Macaca mulatta: one gene and its partner. Each later gene encodes a partner of the first gene's protein in a complex. Links are inferred from orthologs where the notes say so. Each region holds a gene or a part of one and is shown on either strand. Other genes may lie near its edges. The genes, in order: HRAS and PLCE1.

The links.
Region 2: the proteins of HRAS (region 1) and PLCE1 are in contact, whole or in part, in a crystal structure (PDB 2C5L), measured with the Homo sapiens proteins. The link is inferred for Macaca mulatta from reciprocal best matches to the Homo sapiens genes HRAS and PLCE1. Residues at the interface, in NP_001123914.1 of Homo sapiens: Ile24, Gln25, His27, Val29, Glu31, Asp33, Ile36, Glu37, Asp38, Ser39, Tyr40, Arg41, Glu63, Tyr64; in NP_057425.3 of Homo sapiens: Phe2138, Pro2146, Glu2147, Gln2148, Pro2149, Arg2150, Thr2151, Val2152, Ile2153, Lys2154, Lys2171, Tyr2174, Ser2175.

Annotation. Positions count from the first base shown.
Region 1 is NC_133419.1:424,656-429,226, reverse strand, and holds the start of HRAS (GTPase HRas), read left to right. Parts: upstream 1-1,741; 5' UTR 1,742-1,757; intron 1,758-1,782; exon of another isoform or gene 1,783-1,918; intron 1,919-2,789; 5' UTR 2,790-2,839; coding exon 2,840-2,950; intron 2,951-3,233; coding exon 3,234-3,412; intron 3,413-3,563; coding exon 3,564-3,723; intron 3,724-3,818; exon of another isoform or gene 3,819-3,900; intron 3,901-4,421; coding exon 4,422-4,541; 3' UTR 4,542-4,546; intron 4,547-4,571. UniProt on the Homo sapiens protein: Involved in the activation of Ras protein signal transduction. Ras proteins bind GDP/GTP and possess intrinsic GTPase activity.
Region 2 is NC_133414.1:105,930,329-105,934,588, reverse strand, and holds the start of PLCE1 (1-phosphatidylinositol 4,5-bisphosphate phosphodiesterase epsilon-1), read right to left. Parts: upstream 2,829-4,260; 5' UTR 2,501-2,828; intron 1-2,500. UniProt on the Homo sapiens protein: The production of the second messenger molecules diacylglycerol (DAG) and inositol 1,4,5-trisphosphate (IP3) is mediated by activated phosphatidylinositol-specific phospholipase C enzymes.

The DNA of each region.
Region 1 (4,571 bases):
CGCACGTGGGTGGAGCCCCGGGTCAGCGGCGACCGGCGCAGGAGGGCGTGGCGGCGGGGCGGGCACTGGGTTGGGCAGAGGCAGGGTTTGCCTGACCGTAAAACGCCTTTTTTTTTTTTAAACGCCTTTTTTTTGAGACGAAGTTGCGCTCTGTCACCCAGGCCGGAGTGCAGTGGCGCGATCTCGGCTCACCGCAACATTCGCCACCCGGGTTCCAGCGATTCTCCTGCCTCAGCCTCCTGAGTAGTTGGGCCTACAGGCTCGCGCCACTGCAGCCGACTAATTTTTTGCATTTTTAGTAGAGACGGGATTTCATCATGTTGGCCAGGCCGGTCTTGAACTCCTGACCTCAAGTAATCCACCTGCCTAGGCCTCCCAAAGTGCTGGGATTATAGGCGTGAGCCACCGCGGCCGGCCCCTTTTGCTTTTTTTTTTTTTTTTTTTTTTTTTTTAGACGGAGTCTCGCTCTGCCACCCAGGCTGGAGTGCAGTGGCCGGATCTCAGCTCACTGCAAGCTCCGCCTCCCGGGTTCACGCCATTCTCCTGCCTCAGCCTCCCAAGTAGCTGGGACTACAGGCGCCCGCCACCTCGCCCGGCTAGTTTTTTGTATTTTTTAGTAGAGACGGGGTTTCACCGTGTCAGCCAGGATGGCCCTTTTGCTTTTTAATGAGAATGTATTTCTGATTCCTTTGCAATTTAAAAAAATGTTAAAAAAAAAAAAAAACACGTCTTTTGGGGTTTGAAAGAGCTAGGATGTGGTCTTTGTGCTTGGGGTGAGCCCTGGGCACTTCGCTCTCCTGTGGCAACCTGTAGGTACCGTTTAACTGCACCACGCTGAGCTTCTGCATGGTTGGAACCTCAAGTCTGGGGGGACTGAGCGGGCAGGGTCGCCTGCCACGCAGGCCCAAGTAAGAGAAGTGGTGGAGGGGGCGTTCTCACGCCTGGCCCCAGGGAGCACGGCTGCGCCTGCCGCTCGAAACCCCACCGGAGCTGCAAGGCGTCCTCGGGGTGGGCTGAGGTGGGAGTAGGGGAGCTGGGGTGCGTGTGGTAGGTGGGGTGCGCGGAGGAGGCGGGGTGCGCACCGTCCGGGTGCGGGGCCACTCCACCTGCGCGGAAGGGGAGCCGGGCAACCGGACCCCGCGGCCACCCGGGGGCCCTCAGCTCCGAGCGGCCCGCCTTGGTCCCGACGGATCCCAGCCTTTCCTCAGCCGGAGCCCCGGGACCTCCGCGGTGGGCGACGCCGCGCTGCGGACGCAGGGAGGGCCTCGAGTGCACGGGCGCCGCTGAGTCGGGTTCTCTCGCCGGCCTGTTCCCGGGAGAGTCCACGGCCCTGCTCGGATATGCCGCCGCAGGCCCCCAGACACCTGCTCCCTCGCCCTCCTTGAGCAACCCGGAGCTTGCCTCCGCTCGCCGGCCTAGCCCAACCCCCCGAGGCCGCGGCCCTTCTGGCTCCGCCTCCCGCGTTGCTCCCGGAAGCCCTGCCCGACCGCGGCTCCTGACAGACGGGCCGCTCAGCCAACCGGGGCGGGGCGGGGCCTGGTGTAGCGCGGCCAATGGTAGGTCGCGCCGGGCTGACGGACGGGCGCGGGGTGGGGCGTGCGCGAGCCCGGTCGAGTCTCCGCCGCCCGCTCCCTGCGCCTGCAGCCCCAGCCGCACCCGCCGCGGACGGAGCCCATGCGCGGGGAGAACCGCGCGCCCCCGCCCCCGCCCCGCCCTGGCCTCGGCCCCGGCCCCGGGGGCAGTCGCGCCACTGAGCGGTGAGTGCGGGCCGGGGTCGGCCGGGCCGCGCGCCCTCCCCGCCCCCAGGCGGCAGCCATACGCGCGGCGCGGGCCGGGGGCGCGGGACCGGCGGGCGTGAGCGGCTGCGGCGGCGGTAGTGGGTGGGTGGGGCCGGGCCGGGCGGGGCCCCCAGGCACAGGTGAGCGGGCGTCGGGGGCTGCGGCTGGCGGGGGCGGGCTGAGGCCCCTTAGTCCCTGGGGCCTGCGGGAATCCGGGCCCCGCCCGTGGCCTCGCTCTGGGCACGGTCCTCACGCCGGCGTCCCCGGGAGCCTCGGGCCCGGCGCCCTCATAACCAGGCGCGTCTGGGCGGAGGCGGCCGCGGCCACGGCACGCCCGGGCACCCCCGATTCAGCATCACAGGTCGCGGACGAGGCCGGGGGCCTCAGCCCCGGGGCCCTTCCCCTCTCCGGGTCTCCCGCGCCGCCTCTCGGCCCCTTCCTGTGGCTCAGCCCCTGCTTCCCAGGAGCCCCTCTGTCTTTTCCAGCTTTCTGTGGCTGAAAGATGCCCCCGGTTCCCCGCCGGGGGCGCGGGGCGCTGCCCGGGTCTGCCCTCCCCTCAGCGGCGCCTAGCACGCAGTAGGCGCTCAGCAAATACTTGTCGGAGGCACCAGCGCCACGGGGCCTGCAGGCTGGCACTGGCCTGCCCGGGCACGCCGTGGCGCGCTCCGCCGTGGCCAGACCTGTTTAGGAGGACGGTAACCTCAGCCCTCGGGCGCCTCCCTTTAGTCTTTCTGCCGACCCAGCAGCTTCTAATTTGGTTGAGAGCGCTCAGCTGTCAGCCCTGCCTTTGGAGGCTGGCTCCCTTTTCCCCTCACTGGGTCCTTAACAGCAAGTGGGGGCGAGGCGACAGTCCTCCCCCGCGCTGGTTTGCAGCTGCACAGGTAGGCACGCTGCAGTCCTTGCTGCCTGGCGTTGGGACCCAGGGCCCGCTATGGGTTTGCTCTTCAGATGGCTCTGCCAGCAGCTGCCCTGTGGGGCCTGGGCCTGGCTGAGCAGGACCATCCTTGGCAGGTGGGGCAGGAGACCCTGTAGGACCCCGGGCCGCAGGCCCCTGAGGAGCAATGACGGAATATAAGCTCGTGGTGGTGGGCGCCGGCGGTGTGGGCAAGAGTGCGCTGACCATCCAGCTGATCCAGAACCACTTCGTGGACGAATACGACCCCACGATAGAGGTGAGCCTGGCGCCGCCGTCCAGGTCCCGGCAGCTGCTGTGGGCGAGCCCAGGACACAGCCAGGATAGGGGTGGCTGCGGCCCCTGGCCCTGCATGGTGCTCTGGGCCTGTCTCCTGCTTTCTCCAGAGAAGGGGAGCCCCTCGTCTCAGCACCCCAGGAGAGGGGGCATGAGAGGGGCATGAGGGGGCATGAGAGGGGCATGAGAGGTACAGGGAGAGGCTGGCATTGTGAACTCCCCGCATGGAGGGTCCTGAGGGGTCCCTGAGCTCTGTCCTCCTGCAGGACTCCTACCGGAAACAGGTGGTCATTGATGGGGAGACGTGCCTGTTGGACATCCTGGACACCGCCGGCCAAGAGGAGTACAGCGCCATGCGGGACCAGTACATGCGCACGGGGGAAGGCTTCCTGTGTGTGTTTGCCATCAACAACACCAAGTCCTTTGAGGACATCCACCAGTACAGGTGAACCCCTTGAGGCTGGCCCGGGAGCCCACGAGGCACAAGTGGGGTCAGGCCGGCTGTGCCCAGACAGGGGCCTCCTGTCCTCTCTGTGCATGTCCTGGATGCAGTCGTGCCTGCAGCCCCTATAGCCAGCTCTCACTTTTCCTCCCAGGGAGCAGATCAAGCGGGTGAAGGACTCAGACGACGTGCCCATGGTGCTGGTGGGGAACAAGTGTGACCTGGCTGCACGCACCGTGGAGTCTCGGCAGGCTCAGGACCTCGCCCGAAGCTATGGTATCCCCTACATTGAGACCTCGGCCAAGACGCGACAGGTGAGGCAGCTCTCCAGCCCACAGGTAGCCAGGGACTCGCCCCGCCCCGCCCCAGCCAGGGAGCAGCACTCACTCACCCCTCTCCCTTGACACAGGGCAGCCGCTCTGGCTCTGGCTCCAGCTCCGGGACCCTCTGGGACCCCCCGGGACCCATGTGACCCAGCGGCCCCTCGCGCTGTAAGTCTCCCGGGACGGCAGGGCAGTGAGGGAGGCAAGGGCCGGGGTCTGGGCTCACGCCCTGCAGTCCTGGGCCGACACAGCTCCGGGGAAGGCGGAGGTCCTTGGGGAGAGCTGCCCTGAGCCAGGCCGGAGCGGTGACCCTGGGGCCCAGCCCCTCTTGTCCCCAGAGTGTCCCACGGGCACCTGTTGGTTCTGAGTCTTAGTGAGGCTGCTGGGGACACTGGCCATAGCTCAGATGAGAGCTGGGTGCAGGGTGGTCAAACCCTGGCCAGATCTGGAGTTCAGGAGGGTCCTGGGCCACCCTGACCTTTGAGGGGCTGCTGTAGCGTGGTGCAGGTGGCCCTGGGCTCTTCGAGATGACCAGAGCCCAGCTTCCTGTGTGTGTGGTGGGCCTGGGGAAGTGGCTGGTGGAGTCGGGAGCCTTGGGCCAGGCACGGCTTGATCGCACAGCAGGGAACCCCTCACCTAGGCAGGGGGCCACAGGCCTGTCCCTCCTGATCCCATTCCTCCTTTTCCAGGGAGTAGAGGATGCCTTTTACACATTGGTGCGTGAGATTCGGCAGCATAAGCTGCGGAAGCTGAACCCTCCTGATGAGAGTGGCCCCGGCTGCATGAGCTGCAAGTGTGTGCTCTCCTGACGCAGGTGAGGGGGCTCCCAGGGCGGCCGC
Region 2 (4,260 bases), on another chromosome or scaffold:
GGTTCCCAATCTGGCCCATAAAAATCTATTCAAGCCATAACACAGATGAATTATAGCCTCCGTAAAAACCCTGCATTCTGCATCCAGGGAGCAGAGAGGAACACAAGACGCTAGAAAGAGTTCTGCCCTTCTTTGTAGGCCACATGGTCGGCCTATAACAAAATGCATCTTTGATATCTTCTTCCTCTCTTTCTTCATTCCCTACTCCTCCATCTCCAACTCTCCTCTTTGGGCCTTACATAATTAAATCACACGCTTCCCTAAAACCCTATCAGAACCTTCCAGCCCTCCTCCAGAAGCACCATACTCCCCAATCACCTGTCTTCCCTCCCCTCAACCAAACCCCTACTTGCTCAATGCCACACATCTCAACTGAACGTTGGGAGGAAAGCAACTTCAGCAAACAAATTCACACTCTAAGCTGCTTCTACTGCTTTTGGCTTTTTCTCTGCTTCTGAACCCAGAAGCTCTGTTTTGTTGTTCTTCCACCGCAGAAGTAGTTCCAGCAGAGAGAGAAGGCATTAGGACCATAGCAACTGTCCTGTATAGACACCTGTCAGCCAGGCGTGTGGAACACACACGCACGCGCACACACGTGCAGCACAGCCTCACTCTGTGCAAATCCCTCCTCTTGCCCAGGCATGGGAAACATCCCCTGCTGCCTACTTTAGAAAACTCTTCCACCATACACAGTAGTTTTTCAATCTTCTTTTATTCATTTAGAAAGTTACAGGTAACAAATTGCACATCAAACGATTTTTTTTTTTTTGAGTATACAACAAAAGCCCAGCGAAGAATGTGACTAAGAATGGTTGTAAATAGAAAAAGAAAACCAACTGCCTTCATTGGAATCTAGCTTCTAACCCACTGGAGTATGGAATTTTTAATGACAGGTCAAACTTGGAGCACATCCCAGGAGTTTATGTTACTAAGAGGACTGGAAGAATGTCCCTCCAGTTCAATCTCACCTCTTACCTGGTCCCAAGGCATGAACCAAAGATGATTATTAGACAAGGCTCCCAGGTATAAAAGGAATTTCCCCCATGGGGCTGTAAATAAAGGATAGTGTTAATGGTAAACATTATACATTCCTCTAGCTCCTTTCAATTATATTGTCTCCTTCTCCAAAGTAGATATTTATGTTGTAAAACCAAAATCTTAAGATTTAATACTGGCCCACAATTATCTCTAAAGAGTCTTCTAAGTGCAAGCATTTTGCCATGAAAGCCACAGCAAATACCTTTAGTAGGGAAAATGAGACATCTACATAAATAACTCTCAGAAGGTGGAGAGCAGAAAGGGCCCTGGAGAAAAAATCCTGCAGGAATCAGAGCAGGCGGAGTTTGGCTGTTTCAGGAAAAGCCGCACAACACCAGCAAAACACAGTTTGAAGGATGGTTAGACTTTAGAGTGGTGGATGTGGGAGAAGATGTGCCATCATATGGTTTAGAAGACTACACCATGAGACATTCTTCAGAAAAGTATTCATGAAGACATAGATGCATGCAGTAACCTAGAGATAGTCCACCTCTCTCCTCAATGACAACTGGGCACCTGTACAAGCATCGATGGGGTCACCTGCTTCCACCTCCCAAGTCAGGCTCTCAAAAATTCTCCCTAGGGGGGTCAAGCATTCTTGGCCACAGTAGCGCCCATTCTGTGGCAGTGGCCCTGCCTTACCTCTTCGGGGGTATAAGAAATATGAAAACACACCAATCCTGCAGAGATCTAAAAGACCTACAGGCAAATTTTGCATAATGCAACTGAAATTATGACCTTCGTGCAAATAACTTTTCGAAGAGTGAAAAGTTTTAAGTGAATCCTACTTAACATGTATTCAGGGAACTCACTATTTAAAATGACACTGATTAATCACTAAATGAGTCTTACAATGAATAATTGGTTAAGTCGGCTGAACCAAGTGTCTCATGGCTTCAATACAAAGCAAGGGGGCGAAAGCTCCCACAAATTTACGCTGTGCACCTAACATTCGCCACGACAGAAGACTTCTTGCTCTAGTGTTATTTATTACTGTGGCATTAAAGGACTTGAAGGAAAAGCTAGCTATTCTTCTAGTTACCAGTTAGAGCGGGACCAGGTCCAATATTGTATTTTCTAGGACTTGATGTACACAAATCTCTCCAGGAACAATCTCTTGAGCACTTTCCTTGAAATACTGCTGCTAAGCACTGCCACAAAAAGAGCTTATGATTTTCTTTGCACTGGCCCCTCCACACCGCACTCACAACACGGAGGGGTGACCTGAGGCAGACGTCTGGAGTGAAGGTACTGGCAGGGTGTCTTTTAGCCCCTGCGAGGGCGGCCTGCATGCCCTGGGGTACCACCCGCCTCGGGTCCCCCGGGAGGGCGAGGACACTCTTCCGCCAGGTACGCGGGGTCGGGCTGCTCCCTTCGGCGGGTCGACTGCCTTGGGAGAGAACGAGCCCATCCTTCCCCTTCTCCAGTCCTCAGGAACCGAGTTACAGAGTCGCTTCCTCACCTCTTCGCTCCTGGCGAGTTTCGCCGGCGTCCCCAAGCGCTAAGTCCCTCTGGGACCCGCCGTCCGCGCGCCTGTCGCTAGCGGCGCCGGGTGTCCCCGCTACTGTGTGTCAGCTGCAGAGCCGATGCCCAGGAACGCGCAGGAGCCAGGCAAGTGCCCGAGAGGCAGAGCCCGGGAGGCAGAGCCCGGGCGCGCCGCCGCTGCCCCTCCCGCCGCCCGCCGCCCGCCGCGTTGCCCACGTTGCCCAGCGTTACCGTGTGGACCCGCGCAGTTCCCAGTCCGCGCCCGCCGAGCTGTGCGCGCTGCCCGGACGGCGGCGGCTGCGCGGGCGGCAGCGGGGCCCCCGCCCTGGGCCGGGCTTTCCCAGAACTCGCCCGCCCCGGGTGAGAGGCCGCTAGCGCCGCCGCGGGCGGCCGAGCGGCCGGGGGAGCGGCCTGTGCCGGGCCCGCCCCCGGCTCCCGCCGTGCGGGGAAGGCGGGCGCGGAGCGAGGACCCGGCCGCCTCCCCCGAGCTAGCTGCTGGCGGCACGACCCCTTCCCAGACCCCTGACCCTGGCCCCTAGGAGCCATCCTTTCTGGCGGGAGCCAGAGAGAGCGCTCTTGGGGCGCCCGGCTCCGGGAAGGGCGGGAACTCTGCACACCTCAGGCGGCGGGAATGTACTCTCACACTACCCCAGGGAACCATCCCTGGTTGACAGATATGGAAACTGAGTCTCACGGCAGATAAATGACACGATCAAGGTCTCTGTAGTAGATGGCAGCACCAAGTCTCGAATCTGTTCTGTCACTCGTTCATTTAATACATATTCATTGAGCCCCATCAATGTGCCCAGCGTTGTGCCAGGCTCCGGAAATACTCCTTTTGCTGGTAATGCGGGGCCATCCAGGCCTGCGGACTCCTAATCCAGTACTCTTTCATTGCTCAAGCACACCTGAAGATCTTAACAGCTAGAAACCATAGGCTCTGCACAGAACCTCCTTAGCCGCTGGAGCGGCTTTTATGAGTCTTACGAGAGCCTAGGACCTGGAAAAAAATCAAATCATCATCCTCCTCCCTTTCCCCTAAACCTGTTCCTCCTGCCTCTACCTGTTCTAATGGAAGACCCTTCCCTAGGCCTGACCTCTTCTCCTACATCTGATCAGGACCCATTCCTGTGGCCCATATCGCCTCCGACTGTCCTCTCCCTTGGACCATATCAATTCTTCAAACCACCTCTGTATTATTCTTCCTCTTTTACAACTTTAATCTATGCAGAAACATTCATTGGCTCCCTATTGCCCTCCAGACTAACTCCCCATGGCTATAGTAACCCAGCATGCCCTGGCTAATAAGGATCACCCAACAGAATGTCTCTCCCACTCCAGCTCTGTACCTGAACTTAAGCTGAGCCTTCTACCCGGAGCATCACTGCCTCCTCCCACACACTTTCCTCCTGCTCATGTTTGACCCTTTCTTTCTGGTCCCTCTTAAAAGTGATCTCCCCTTCTTGGATGCTCCAGAACACAGGAGAGGTTGGAGCAAGAATGCACAGGAGGCCCAAAGAATCCTGCTGTTAAGAAAAATCTGCCTGTCTGGTCCTTAAACTGTCTTGCTGTTTTCTCACCACTAGGACTTTAATGAAAACTAACATGACTGCCTCCCTGGAGAGCTGATTTCAGAAAGGTCTCTGCAGAGGGCTCTAAAGAAATTCTTTGTTCCTTGAGATCTTGGGATTTTACCACTAGGACAATGAGAAGTGGTAATTCACTCAATCCCGGAGG